2 linked regions of the Styela clava genome follow. The protein of the gene in region 2 interacts with the protein of the main gene of each other region in a biochemical or structural test. Links are inferred from orthologs where the notes say so. Each region holds a gene or a part of one and is shown on either strand. Other genes may lie near its edges.

Region 1 (7,641 bases), on a different chromosome or scaffold from region 2:
TTTCTAAATGGTCAAATTTATAGAGCAAAATGGGCATTGCTAGGACACATCCTGTGGCCATAATTGGTAATGATAACCCTTAAAAAACAGTACTAAGGTACTGAAATCCCAACAAGAAAAACAACACATCAGAGAAATGAATCAAGGCTCGTTTTTTGTCCAATTAGAGAAAGAAAAGTTAACACAACTTACCTCCATTTTAACTTTGAAATTGCCACCCGATTCTTTTATAGTTTTTTCAATCTCATTCAAGCAATCTTGCAATGCATTCAAACCTACTTGTCGATCCAAAGATTGGGTTGTCAGCACATAGACAGGTGGAGCAATCAAATTGATCTGGAATATAAAATTCTTTCTTTGAAAAATGTTTCTGCAATCTAACTATTATATACATAAATACAGAACCTTATTTCAAAACTAATATTTAACTATGTTAGATAGTGCAAGTCATCAATATCGAAACGAGAATATCGGTCAGAGACCGAAGACTTATCGATCGAAAGTTAGGGGATCCCCCAAAACAGCGCTCTTACTCCATAGTGACACCTTGTGTCCCATCACTAATTAATTAATAACTCGCTAATTATACGACATAATTCATCCAAAATCAATAGGCTTATGGTACGACATATAATGAATGCACATGCAAAATCTTGAGCAGATTCAATCTCGATTTCGTGAGATATTGCGTGCATCTAACAGACAAATACCTATCAACATACTTACCGATTAAAATCGAAAGAGTTAAGAGGGACAATCGAAAACATTTAGAAGGAAACATGGGAAGAACAGAGCCCTTTATAATATCTTTACGTAAGCCAAGTGAAAACTATGTTACTCAAGTTCGGCGGAATCATTACGCAGGCCGTATTTGGCCCACAGTTAAGGAACCACTGTATTAGATCATTTCTCAATTTTCTTAAGAACAGTGGTTCCTTGTTAGGACTTAAGCGCCGTGCTCAGAGTAGATATGAATGATATATCACACAAAAATACATACTTTGATTTTATGTTCTTCAGTAGAACAATCAATTCCTTTCAAAAGAGCATTTTTCACTGCATCTACTCCTTCATATGTATAGCAAGATACTTCAACATCTGTTAGAAAAAAAAAAATTCAAAGATTGTTCAGTGACCAATACGGAGAGGGAATTGAGATAAAACTTGGAATATGTAACTGCCAGGAAGGTCATCAATAACCAGATATCAAAATATACCTGATCGAATTTTCATTGCTTGCGGAGTCAACCTTCTCCTAATATTTTTCATCAAAACTGATTTCTCTTCTTCTGATAATTGGAGTTCATCAAGAACTTGTGGTTCACTATAAAATTGATGGTATTTTTTATTTTTTTTGGAAAGTCTTCAACAAAAGCAGATTGAGAGGTGTAAAAGGAACAGATGACATATTACAACAGTCTATATGTAGATTTATTTTTGCATAATATATGACAATATACTTGAGACTTAAATGCCAAGGAATATCGATATCAAAGAATTTTGTTAAAACTAATGAGATGGCTGCTTTTTTTTATCAAATCTATTGCAAATTTGCGAAATCATTACTTAAGTCTATTTTTTCAGAAAAAAAATTGTTTTGTTTCATCTTTTTGTGACAAAAAGTAGAATATCAAACCATTCTAATATGGACAATCGTGGTGGCCTTGAAGAGGGAGTATTGGAAATTTCATGAGCAAGGTACAAGCTCTATAAGATTCAGATTGATAATCCGAACTTTTCGTGGCACAAATGCAAAATTTCACAGAAATCAATTACACATAGAGAGGTACATAGGTACAATTATGCAAAAAGATTGGCATTTACTCTATAGCTCTCTTAAATAGATCATATGAAGCAGGATATTTTTCAGTTGGTCTCTTATATTTTGTATCCAACGCCCAGGCTGTTCGGTCAAATAAATCTTCAAAATCTTCATCTGTCTGAAAACCTAGAAGTTCAGCAGTATGACGAAGAATGCTGTAAACCTGTATTAAAAAATTTTTATTTTTTTGCTTTCATTACATGTTTCAAAATTTACTAAAAAAGTTTGATAAGTTGAGCACTAGCTCTGGTCAAAATGTTGTTTCACATATAGTTTCAACTTACAAGCATATGAAATAAAGTTGATGCCTTATTTCCCAAAAGACATCGATAAAATTCAGAAATCCACCAGATCATGGAATATATAATGATGATTCAAAATATATAATGAAGACCGCAATATGAATACTTTCTTATACCTAGCATGACCAAACATAAATTCTAAACTAGATGAAAATACTAGACATCTAGTATATCAACAAATATCGCTGTATACCTCTTAATTAACATGCCGTAAGAGTAGTAAGTAAATCCTAGTGAGCGTTAAATTATTGAATAACAATATTCCTGCTACAGAATTAACACTGAAACACTACTTACACATTTTGCTTTTGAATACTTATTTTCACATTTTTTTGCTTCTTCTTGTGAAACTCTTCTTTTTGATAAATCAATGTAACCTGAAAAAGTAGCAAATTATTATAAAATAATCACAATATATCAAAAGATAAAAAGGCAACAATAGCATTGCAATAATGCTAATCCAGCAATTTTTGTTAAATACTATGACAAATCGTGATCTTCAAAAATATAACTTTTCTATCTATAAGACACAAAAGTTGATAATCAAAATGTCAGTACTATAAGACGATAAACAACAAAAAGAACACATTTTCGCCTATTTCGTTTTGAATCGGATATTGAAATTTGCAAATACATAAATTTCATTGAATCTTATTTATTAACAATCGCACGAAACTCCCTACCTTTTTCTTTATCTACTCTTATAACAACGACACATTCATCACGACCGACACGAATCAACTTATTGATAGATCGAATACGACGTCTCGACAATTCACTAAGCAATATCATTCCTTCAATGTTATTGTATTCAAGCAATTTAACGTAAGCTCCCATCTCTGCGATGGATCGAACATTCACCATGACAACATCTTCAACCTCCGGAAACTTATCCTTATAATATCGACACGAGATCGGCATTTTGAGTTAATTTGCTAACAACTATATAAAAATATACAATTCAAATAAAAACAATTAAAAACATAAAACTTGAATAAAATTCTCTTATATAGATTAACCAATAGTCAAGCATATGATACACTTTTTCATATTTATCCCAGGGACTCAAATCATATGGCAAACTGTGGCCTTTTGTCTGTTCAACAGACTAGAGCTAAGTCAGTGGTTATGTGACGCAACCTGGAAAAAACAACAAATATGTCTACAGTAATTCTTTTGCATATAGACATACAAATGGAATCTATGAACCGAACAATATAAACATATCTTCACATTTGAAACAATTCTTAATTAAAGAGACGTGACACTTCTTTTCGAACAATCGATACATAAACAGTTTGTACAATCAAAAACTATACATCGATAAAATTTTCTGAATGAAACTTTTTCAACCAAATTCATTTCAATAAATATTTAAAAAACAAAAATTATAATATCACAGAATAAGAAGCTGACAAACTATTCTTTTTTGAATGATTTCTTTTCCGTAAATATCCGAGGACTATCCGGGTCAATTACTGCTTCATCCCAAGGTCCATAAATATTATTTTTATGAATTTGAAGAGACATCAACAATAGAGGACAGATGAAATTAACAAAAACAATTAGAAGTAGAAATAAGAGACTTATATACAAATGAATAAAAAGTAGTAACAAAAACGTTGCTATACTCAATAAAACAGTAAAGGGATCCATAAACCACGGAGTTTCACGCCTTAATGTTCTTTGTAACATGGGCCAAAATCCAAAAAGAAATAACGCTAAAATAACAATAGCGAATACATGCTCCGAAGAATCCAATCGAGACGCAAGACATACTGACGAAAACAATGACATATTTAACGATACAGCTCTAGAAATTGGCGCAGCATCAGACCCATAGTCATGAAACAGTAAATGTCCTAAAATCATTAGAACACTCATTGCATATATCGTATCAGTACTAATAGTGTGCGTCAACGTTTTTAATATCGGAGATAAAAAATCAGTTAAACACAATACAACAACTGCTGTTTTAGCATTACTAAATAACGCTTTCCATCTCTCACCCTGGCTCGTTGTTAAATATAAATACACGCAGAAGCCTATTACTGAAACAGGCATCAGCCATTTTAACATAGTATATGGAGTATATAGGCCTTCATCGAGTAACCACCAGCTAACGATTAAACAGCTGACTGTACAAAGTTGTTGAGTAATGACTTCAATTTGACGAACGAGATCCCAATATTCATATTTTCTGATGTAGATGTTCTTTCGCATTTCCGTGAGGAAAGACTCATCCACATAATTGTCTGGAACATTTTGAACTTCGTACAATACTTTTCTCCATTTTTTGCGATTAGTTGTCATTCTTGAACACGCTTATATCAACAGCCAAAATCAATATTACTCTATGAATAGGTTAAAACTGAAATTTATAATAACAATGGCTCAATACCGGTACTGTAATAATAAGCACATACAAGACAATCTATGAACAAATTTATCTGAGGAACCTGTTCTTTTATCTGTTTATAGCCCAGTGGCGGGCCATTACAAACAAAATATCGTATCGTACGGTCTGACGGTACCGGTACCAGTAGGTATGGATTAGTTAGCCGGTACGGTAGGTACCGGTATTTGTTCTACAGTTTCAGATACCGGTACCGTACATGGTGGACGATAAGATAAGTTTATTTCAACTCCATACTCAGCATAAACGGCGATAAAACGGTTGATTAAAACAAATAGAACTCGTTTAGTCATACAGCGGCACAGACTAACCACAAAGTTGAGCGAATTTGCTCTATGATGGTTCACCATGATGGGCGATGGCGCAAACACCAACACGAAACACCAAAAACTCTACAGTCCACACATGTTAGGGGTGAATGATGCTCGAGATCCGGATCCGGCGATCGCTTCTTATTTACACCGTAAGCGACACCCAAATCTTTTGACAAAAAAATCCGTCAACTTTTTTGGGTCTGGCGGTTACCGCAAAGAAACACAATTGTCATCGCATTACAAACCCAATCGTCATAATTATGCGCGAGGGGATTGCCAGACTTCTCACCCTCGCAAGTGGTTAAGGCTTCGCGCCATTCAAATACGCTCAAATCAATTACCTGATGAACTCTTCCTATTCCCGATTTGGGTTATGTTAACGCTGACTCGTCAAATTTCTTCTTCCTCTGGATTTCATCCTTTTTTTCTGTTTGGCACCCCATCACTGGAAAGGATAGGATTTACATATTTATCCTGGGGAAGAGGAGAGCCGATAAGACGGCTCAATCATATGGCGGACCACGGCCTCTCGTCCGGTTACCAATCCATGTCGAGTATGGAACTTGTTAGCTAGTTTATTTTTGGAAGCATAGACTTAAATGCTCTTTTGCAAATTTGTGTACCTACGACAAAAAAATGATAATTAGTAGTAAACAATTTATTTGACCATTTACTGAATATTTGCGCCTACAGATTATAGAATAAACTAAAAATGTCGTTTCGTGGTGCAGGGGAGTGCAATAAACCAGTCGTATCATCGAGCAGCAACACCTTTAAAAAAGTCTAATCTAAGTTGGGAAATAAAAATGGATTTTCATGCGACCTGACATTTCCACTCGTTGTACTATAAGAAAACAACTCCGAGCACGACATGCTGGTAACCATACTGCGGCGAGATGCTGCGTTCCCCTCTTGCTGTCGAAATGCCGTCTGAAATTTGAGTGTCCCCAAGAAGTTGTATGATGAGAACGTTTGAGCAAAGATCGAGAGATGTGCTCAAATAAATTGTTAATCGACATATCACATGTAAAAATTGGATTTTGAATTCGACAGCGATAATGAAGTGTTATTTGTGATCAGCTATTTACGGCAGTACGGTTACATTTTGAAACCTGTAGATCTCAATCAAATATTTTCCGTGTAGTTCGCGCAACTGTTGGTTGCTTGCAGTATTCCACTAACTACGCCTATGTATCTAGATCTTGCAAGTACTGTACGGCTATGTCTGTTTACCTATATTCAGGGTTGGACTAAACATTGATCAAAATAAGGTCACCACGAGAAAGGATGCACCACAGAAGTTTTCACGAACTGGCTATCTCAGTGTTTAATGTAATTCGAGTTGGTAAGACGATTCAGACCTCAATATTGTCTCGGTTTAATAACTTGATTATTTTCTCTTTTTCAAGTACCAGCTTACACCTCTCTATAAATGTTTGTAGGCAAGAGAATTATTTTCAAAAAATACCATGTAGATTAATCATAACTTAGCTTTAATTAGTACCGTGGTAGTGAATACTGAAACATATTCAGAAAACATGGAACACTAGTTTTCATTATTATCATTTTATATAAATAGGGCCCAAAGTATTAAGTGCCTGGGGCTCCTAAGCGGCATGATCCGGCCCTGCTTATATTAACCAGTTGTTTTGGTTTCACTCGCTTCAATAAGACCAGTCACCTCCTGCACGTGTTAACAGCAGCATCGAATATTTAGCGAAATGGTCCAAAGTCGCACTTTGTGTTCAATATCAGTACTCTGATAACAAAAAATTCCTGTTGAATCTAAATTAGATATTGGAACTTTGGACGTCGCTGCACAAAATTCGGGAACGGTCCCACGCGGCGCCCCTTCATCGGGAAAACCTTGCGTTTATTTTGTTATCGTAGTTTTGTTGTGATTATATCACTAGTAGACCGCGAGCCGAGGCCCTGAAAAACGCCTAGAAAGTGAGTTTCGTAGCGCACATCAGGTAACTACCTGAAAATGATTTTAAAATGTTCCCTAAAAATTTAGTAACAAATATTGCCTTGTTCCCACTTCCAAAAGTTGCACGTTTTACGGAAAAGACGCTTTTACTACAAGAAATATGCGCTACGATCTGTCCTATATTCTCTACATTTTCGGCACTGAACAATGACTTCTGCATGACGTAACAATTGAATTAAACCAGCTGTTAGCGAGCGGATGAATATTAGTTATTTCTGCTCGACCTTGCGCTGAGTTGGGCAGGCTTTCCATAGCCCTGTTTAGTTATTATTAGTTAAGTTATGCTAAGACGTTGTTGAAAAATGTATAAGTAAATTATTAAACACTTGTAGATCCTTACCACGGATATGGGCCGCGAGACGAAACCATGAAAACGCCCAGAAAATGAGTTTCGTAGCGCACATCTGGTAACTAAATAAATTCTTCAGTTTTGTGTGAAAACGAACATAATGAACGCATTACAGCTTGTTCCACAATCCTGGTGCGAAATTGAATATAAGAGGTTCCCGGAAATTCAATAACCATAAGTTTACAACGCATACATAAGAACTATACAATTCGAGAGCCCTACAGCACACTAACACAAATGTATTCCTGTAATGTTTTGCCTGACCAAAATCGGACTTCCTCAGTCAATCATAATTTATTAGGTAGATTACGAAAAATATGGCATACATGTAACCAACAACAAAAAATACTTTAATTGTGTGACAGGAGTCGGGAGTGACCTCGAAAGCAGCGACACCAACAACGCTGATTCACATTTGAGAATAAATTTTATGTAATAACCACAAGCA
Region 2 (7,768 bases):
CACAATATATAATGAATGCAGGAATCTTCAAGCTCGACTACTCCAAAAAAGAAATCAAATCGAGGCAGTGTGAAAAACAATTAATGAACTAATTGGTGAAAATAAAAGCAATTTCTGTCCATCTGTTGAACTCGACTGCGGTAGTACACAAATTGCAAATAAATTTAGTACTTTACCCAAGTGACACAAAGATTGCTTGACAATATGGCTCAACCAGCTAGCTATGACAAAAAAACACCTCTCATATCTTGGAAAGCAGGTATTCCCATCTATGTTATTGAGGTCAACTACATCATTGCAATCAATAGCCAACTGCATCATAATTATGCGAACTGCCAAAGTCCAACTCAAGTTTTGGAATCGATTGTACTCCATTCAAAATATTGCAGTAATATGTTCCAGAAGATATCATTGATATCAAGGCATATATACTCAACCACTCACTATCTAGTGGATTATTCATTAAAATCTTCAAAACTAAGCTCTATCACTATGGAATTAGAGGCGTCCCATTCAATTGGATCAGGACCTTCAAGACAGGAAGCAAATTGTGCAATATGACAACTCATTGTCTACAAATATTTGTGTCATGAAGCACGGAGTTCCACAAGGATCTTTACTTGGCCCATTATTTTTTCTAGCTTACATTAATGACATGTCCAGGTGTCTGAAATCCTCTGAGTCGATCATGTTTGCTGATGACACTGATTTGATTCTTCATGGGAAAAACCTTGAAGATCTATTCACAGTTGCAAACCAAGAACTAACCGACATTCATAGCTGGATGTTAGTTAATAAATTATCTCTTAATGCTAACAAAACTAAATTTGTATTATTCCATCCAAGCAAGCATAAAAGTGTGAGTTGTTCAAAAAAACTACTGCTCAATGGCAATGAAATTGAAAGAGGGAAAGAAATAAAATTTCTAGGAGTTATCTTTGATGAAAATCTGTCATGGAAATCACAAATAATGCATGTTATTCGTAAAACTAAAAGAAACCTAGCAGTTTCTGCCAAAGTATCCAAGTGTGTTGATCAATCAGCTCTACTAGCAATGTTTCAATCATTACTACTTAGCCATATTCGATATTGTTGTTCAGTCTGGCTTCATGGTAATAAAACACTTGTCTCAAAACTGCAGAGTATTTGTAATAATTTTTTAAGAATAGTTTTTGGTAAAAGAAAACGTGAAAGTGTAGACCCTTACTTCAAATCACTAAATATATTTAAGGTTGAAGATATGATGAAATTTGAAATATTATCCCTAGATTACAATTTCCTTAATAATGCGCTGCCCAATTGCTTTAACGACATACTTGTCAAAAATACCTCCAACCGAAGAAGTAGTTCTGATTTATTCGTACCTTTCATGAGTAAATCTGTGAGTCAGCATTCCTTGTCTTTTACTGGACCCAAACTTTGGAATTCTCTTCCCCTAAATTTGAAGACGTTAAAGTCCAAAAAATCTTTTCAAAAACAAGTCAAGTCTCATTTAGTTTGCAAATATTAAAATTACTAATGGCGGTATTCGATGACAAAAACTTGGGACACTCCACTCCACCCTTGCACATTATTGTTTTAATGAAAATGTTGAACAGCTATAATAATATGGTTATATCTTGCCATGACTTGGCCAGACCTAGTCCAGCATCAAAAAATGGTATTGTGACATGCATGAGTATATTTTTTTTAAATATATAGGTAGCTGTCATACCTGGATAATATTATCTTTAAATAACTGCACACATTCTATCACTTCACGCTCGTGTTTTTACCTTTTTCTAGCTGTGATGTCCTTATCATACATGCATGGTCTTATGTTTGAGTGGTGGTGTAAGGGTTGTAGATGTATAATATAGTTCCTGCAAGGTTACTAATCATTGCAACAAGGCGAGTAGTAGAGCTATGTTGGATTCTCCCCTTCAGATTTTAATTTGCGGTGGGTCATTTTAATTGGATGTGGTTTTTATATCATTTATGTATGCATGCATTTTATGTTAAGGCAGGGTATTGGTGTTTGAGTTGACATGTTGGCCAAGGTATAGATAGTAAAATTTTGTGTGTTTTTTGCATGGTGTGATAAATTTTTCTCTGTCCCAGGCAGAATGTCATCATAGATCATCTATCCATCGCTATATAATGACAATACATCCCATTTAATTAAACACTTATTTTTTGCCTGTAATAAATAGTTCAGCTTGTTCCCCTTCACCAAATCATTGAAACATCTACTCGCAGTTTTATTTTTTGTTTTTCAGGTTTCTTCAAAGTGATTAAATGAAGTAAAACACATAAGAAAAAAATCAAACAAAGACTCTGATATCCTGTGAAATAACAATCTTATTCCTATATCCTTGTCTGAAATCAATACCCAAAAATGAAAAACCTCACTTACACCCTTTGTAACCAATTTATTTCCATATCCTACTTTACTTAATTATAGTAATTTTACTGTTACCGGTAACTTTAATTACTTATTACAATCTGGACTATAATTTGGCAATAATAGGCTCTAACTTGGGGAATGAAATGGTCTCGCCCACCTCTTCATGCACCCAATTCTGGTAACTTTGATTGGGCAACTTGGCATTTGACTCCAACTATAATCAGCTTGGCAATATGTTTTCAATAGAATCTTCCTTTTATATTTTAATTAACGATTAGAAGATCGATCAATTTGGCAATGGCAACCATTACAAAATTATCCATATGTAGTGGCAAATAATTTTTTTTTTCTTTCTCTAGTATTTATTTTTATTTTTTTTGTTTACTGCCCTATAGTCTACCCTAAATTTATCGCGTTTTATTCTGACTTAAAATAACTTCTCAGTGGTTGAGTGTGTGTGCATGTCAGCGTGTGTGAAATAACTTAATCATTTTAGGTGAGTAAACACGTACCACTTCCTCTTGGCAAAACCTCCCATCTTATATTTTGTACGTTATAAACCTTATCTAAGGTTTCGTTTGCTCCCCTGATTTCATAATCAGTTTTTATTTATTTGTTTTTATCTGTCAAATGTATTGTTATGCTTATTATGGAGTCGAAATAAACTTACTATATTATTATTACATCTGAAGTTTTTCCTCTTTTTGGAGTGTTTAAAGCAGTTTTTCTTGGACTTTTGTGTGAGCGAACACGTACCACTCACTATTAAGTTTTGTTTGCTCTCCCGATTCTGTGATCAGTTTTATACATTTTGTTTTCATCATTTACATTAACCTTTTTTTAGGACGATGCTGGGGTATATATACATACCAGTACAGAAATGCCAATTTTGCTTTTTTTGTTTGTATTATTTCTGACAGACATGGGTACAACTTCGTTATACTAATAACAGAAAGATATCGAAAAACTGGGAGAGAAATTTTATTGCATTCATTTCATGTCGAGTCAATTAAATTACGCATTATCCTCCTCCATAATCTGCTCTGACATTGGAATATGAGACAGTTACTGTTAATTTAACTTTGTACAGCAGTAGATATATTTGTAAACTAAAATGTACGATGTAAAAGTGATTGACCGAATAAATTTCCATAGGTCATAACACGTCAGTTTTAGCCTATTCTGTCGCAGATTTTTCGGGACTAATTTCTAGGCTTACCATACGTCCCGGTTTTAGCATGTTTTCCGCCGTCCCGCCGAAAGACTTGAATGTGGTTTACGGTTTTGCAGTATGACAGTCATAAATAGTTTTTCTATTTGAAACTACTAAATGTTTTTAACGGAGGCATCCGATTCACCACTGATTCGCGTCTCACTTGACTAGTTCAGATATAGAGAAAAATATTTGCGTCATGGTTAGGATATGACAGTATGAACCATGCGTTAATTTAACACCCGAATGTCGTTGAATTATCAAAGTGCCGGAAACAAAGTGCAAGTTTTCTAATGAGTTGAACGATTTCAATTATTTGAAGCAAAGACTTATAGTCATAGAGGATATTTTTTAAAAGTATTTACAGCTAATTTTTAGGCCCGTAATCTACCCACAATGGTATGGAAAACGTTTAAATTAAACTATTACTATGCCCCTGGAATGAAAGGTTGGCTTGTCAAATCCGCGCCGTTTCAGTCACCGAGGTTCCTGATCCATGCTGTATATAAAAATCAGTCAGATAAAGCATTGGCGATGAAATATGGATAAAAAATAGAGATAAAATGTATATGTACGAGTCGACAATTTAATATTCTAAATTTAATAATGAAAGTGAGGCCGAAATAAAGTGTACGAGCGACTGCACAAAGTTCCATTGTTGACTTATTGCTGATTGTTCATTGGTACAAAATAAACAAGGGAATCGACGCTCGGAGAAACATCCATAGTCACCATAATTTTGAGAAAATCGCAAAGGGCAGCGTGGCAAGTGCCGTGGTCACTATCACCAAAGCCGTTATATAATGGCTCTGGTATCACTACGCCAACTGCGTTCCCTTTTCTATATGGCTGATGCAATGATTTCTTTTTTAACGGCTGAGTGAGCACCGTATTATGGATGTCATTATTGGCAATATTTCGACAACAAATATCAAGTAAAAAGTTTGTCAAAAATTGATTGATCATGAAGTAATTGAATGTACGACTGATTCAATGTAAAAATGATGCAATTTTAAGAAATTTTAATGAGATCCACCCTTCACGCAACACCGAACACCATCTGTTCTGTTATGAAAAATTGCGAAATCGTCATTCGTTGACGAGGTCTTGCTCACGTTTTAACGCAGAAATTGCAGTGGAGCTGTTTGGACCGTATGCTCTCAGTTCTTTTGTTCAGCTAACAAGTTCCTTATTTATATTAGTTTTTTTCATAAATACACGAATTGATTAATAAATCAGCAATGGCCGCGGCAGAGGACAATGACGATATGGTAAGTTTTGGCATTTCAGATTTGTCAGGTGCAACATGAAGTTACAGAGTTATGTTCTATATTCTGTGCATTGTGTTCTGAAATTTGCTTTGTACAGTTGTACCTACGGTATGTGGATACCGAGTACCGATCTTAAAATAAATTTCCCATATTTCATATTAATCAGCTATGCAGTGTGGGGCATCACTCAAAGCATACAGTCATAAGGAACTGGAATATGCTCGCCACCACATCCGTGATTACTTTCCTCTTTAAGGATAAATAGTAATATTTCATCCTTCTAACCAAAAAGCCCTGTATACTAGTTGAGTGTAACTTCGAACTTTTTTTTTGACTATTGAATCACAGAATCTTGAATTAACAAAGAAGAAGAAGAAAAAGAAGACTGCAAATTTAGATGAACTCATTGGTAATACAGAGTCGACCGAAGTACTAAAACAAGAAAATGGAGAAACTCCGGCTCCAGAAGGTATTACCACTAAGAGTATGATAAAAACTGTTAAAAGACTACCTTTGTTAATACAATTACTATTTCTAGCAAATTTTCCCCATGTGTGATTACATGATGATACGATCCGGTGACAAGATAAATAATCTTTTAATATTTTCACTCAGTTACTTTCTCAAAAATAAGATAATAAGCCACAGAATATTAGCGTGGCGGGAATATGTGATATCTGATAAAATTTGAAAATTGCTGTCCAGCTCCATTTTTGACTCAAGTTTTGAGTCATTTTTACTATGATTGCTCTTTGAATTTTTTTGGCAGGAAAAATTCTTGAGATGGAATATAGGTAGAAATTATTTTAAATGTTCTTTTTATAGTTGAAGATGAATTATCACTCACAAATCTGAAAAAAAAGAAGAAGAAAAAGAAGTTTGTCCTGGATGACGAAGATGGTGAAGGTGACAAAGATAAAAACGAAACAGGTATTGTGGGGTTATTTAGTGCAGGGGTGTGCGAACTGCGGCCCACAAAAATAGTGCGGCCTGTGGAGAAGTGCTAATTTTGAATAGTGTGCTGCCCGTGAAACAAGTTTTTTTAATTCAGTTTTATCTGTTACTTGCGACCCTTTGCATTGCAAGGCCTAGTCCAATAATTATCTATGTCTATGACGTTACAGTGCCCCAAACACAAGCTTGTGCAAAGCAAAGTTGTAAAAGGATCAACTAGATTGCGATCGGAGACCGCCGACTTATCGATCTGCGGTTTCGATTCCTTTGCTCTGACTTAATAGAGACACTGCGTGTCCTATCAGTAATTAATTAATAACTCTAATTATACGACATAATTCATCCAAAATCAATAGGCTTCTAGATATGATGTATGCACATGCAAAATTTGGAGCAGATTCAACTTCGCTTTCGTGAGATATTGCGTAACATACGAAAGTGTCTAACAGACAAATACCTATCAACATACTTACCGATCGAGATCGATAAGTGATAACCAAGTTTTTGTCATAGTGTAAACAGTGATGCACAAATTCCTTTCGCCTAAAATATTTTTGTTGGCTTTGTTTGACCTAAAAATGTAGGATATAATTTTTGCAGTGGTACTAATTTTGTGCTTTAAATTGTGTTTTAATTGACGATAAAACTGTTTTCGTGGTTTGCTCTTATTCCGAGGATGAAAAGGTGAAATAAAAATGGTGTAAATAAAAATGAATAAATTATGTTGCATCAATGTAATACTTTTGGTCCAACAGAATTAAAACAATACATTTCATTATGTGACCTGTAGAAACTTACGGTGAAAACTTTGGGTGCCTATAGGAAAAAGTTTTTTTTAATATTTTTATCATCTCTCTGCATAAATAAATCTAAAATATCTTGTTTATTCATATTTTGCAGGTGATGCTGGGGATGAGGGCACAGCTCAAGAAAAAGTAAATTATTTTAATATTTTCTTTATTGAAATTGTATTGTGAGTTACTTTATGTGTTGGTTGTTTTTATCTCATCAGTATGGTAGTTAAATTTAATGTTATTTATATAGAATGTCATTTTTATCAGTTATCTACAAAGTTTATATCTGAATACTTTTTATAGTCCACCGTTCTAAGTATTATTCCTGTTCTCAATTCTTATTGGATAATACGTTTTGTTCCATAGAAAGAAGACGGAGAAGAAGAAGAACTCGATTTAACTCATAAGAAGAAAAAGAAAAAGGGCAAAGAAGTTGCTTTCGCAGACCAAGTTGAGGAACAAAATGGTATTTGTTTTGTCAATTTTTTGTCGAAATTTGTTCTATGCATAATTTAACACATTTTCATGGGTTTCATTTGTTTATTTCAGAACAAGAAGAAATTCATGTAACTCCAGGAGAATCAACATGGGCAGGAACAGATAGAGACTATACATATGAAGAGGTTTGTTAATTCACACATTCTATATTTCCATTTTGGCGCTCCAGGAGTGTGTATAGCAATATAGATGTAACTAATTTTGTTCGCTTACTTTACATCAAGATGTGTAAGGGGACTGAATCTTATGGACAGGGGGTATATTCACTGGCTAACACAGACAGTCCCCGAACTCGTAATAGAACTAAAATAAGAAAAAATCGAATAAAATCATGGGCTAACTCTAACCTGGTATCTTCATTTTGGCCTGGTTATGTCATTGCATGTATATCGTTGGCTGAATTAGTTGGGTTTGAGTAAATACTTCTGCAGACTCGTATTTCTATTCCGAATAACGATGAGAGGGCGGCAGTTAATTTATTTAAAATGTCATGATATCTATAGTAATGTTAATAACAGATTTTTCTTCAACACCTTTATTGATATGCTAAAGTGTTATTTTATTATTATGAATATGTTAATGTAATTAACACGTGGTACACAAAATGTGGTTTCATTTGATGTTTTTGTCTGAGCCAAGTTTGTTCATATAT

Evidence for each region. The genes of interacting proteins can lie anywhere in the genome.
Region 1: the proteins of eukaryotic translation initiation factor 2 subunit 2-like (region 2) and eukaryotic translation initiation factor 2 subunit 1-like form a complex in vitro, tested with the Homo sapiens proteins (2 studies listed by BioGRID and IntAct). The link is inferred for Styela clava from reciprocal best matches to the Homo sapiens genes EIF2S2 and EIF2S1.

Annotation. Positions count from the first base shown.
Region 1 is NC_135250.1:6,449,040-6,456,680, reverse strand, and holds the start of eukaryotic translation initiation factor 2 subunit 1-like, read right to left. Parts: upstream 3,093-7,641; 5' UTR 3,046-3,092; coding exon 2,808-3,045; intron 2,502-2,807; coding exon 2,422-2,501; intron 1,986-2,421; coding exon 1,825-1,985; intron 1,325-1,824; coding exon 1,218-1,324; intron 1,099-1,217; coding exon 1,001-1,098; intron 337-1,000; coding exon 193-336; intron 1-192. Other genes in the region: phosphatidylinositol N-acetylglucosaminyltransferase subunit C-like, read right to left, coding at 3,544-4,437. UniProt on the Homo sapiens protein: Member of the eIF2 complex that functions in the early steps of protein synthesis by forming a ternary complex with GTP and initiator tRNA. This complex binds to a 40S ribosomal subunit, followed by mRNA binding to form a 43S pre-initiation complex (43S PIC).
Region 2 is NC_135262.1:17,202,209-17,209,976, reverse strand, and holds the start of eukaryotic translation initiation factor 2 subunit 2-like, read left to right. Parts: upstream 1-4,688; 5' UTR 4,689-4,840; coding exon 4,841-4,870; intron 4,871-5,218; coding exon 5,219-5,339; intron 5,340-5,695; coding exon 5,696-5,800; intron 5,801-6,724; coding exon 6,725-6,759; intron 6,760-6,984; coding exon 6,985-7,084; intron 7,085-7,167; coding exon 7,168-7,241; intron 7,242-7,768.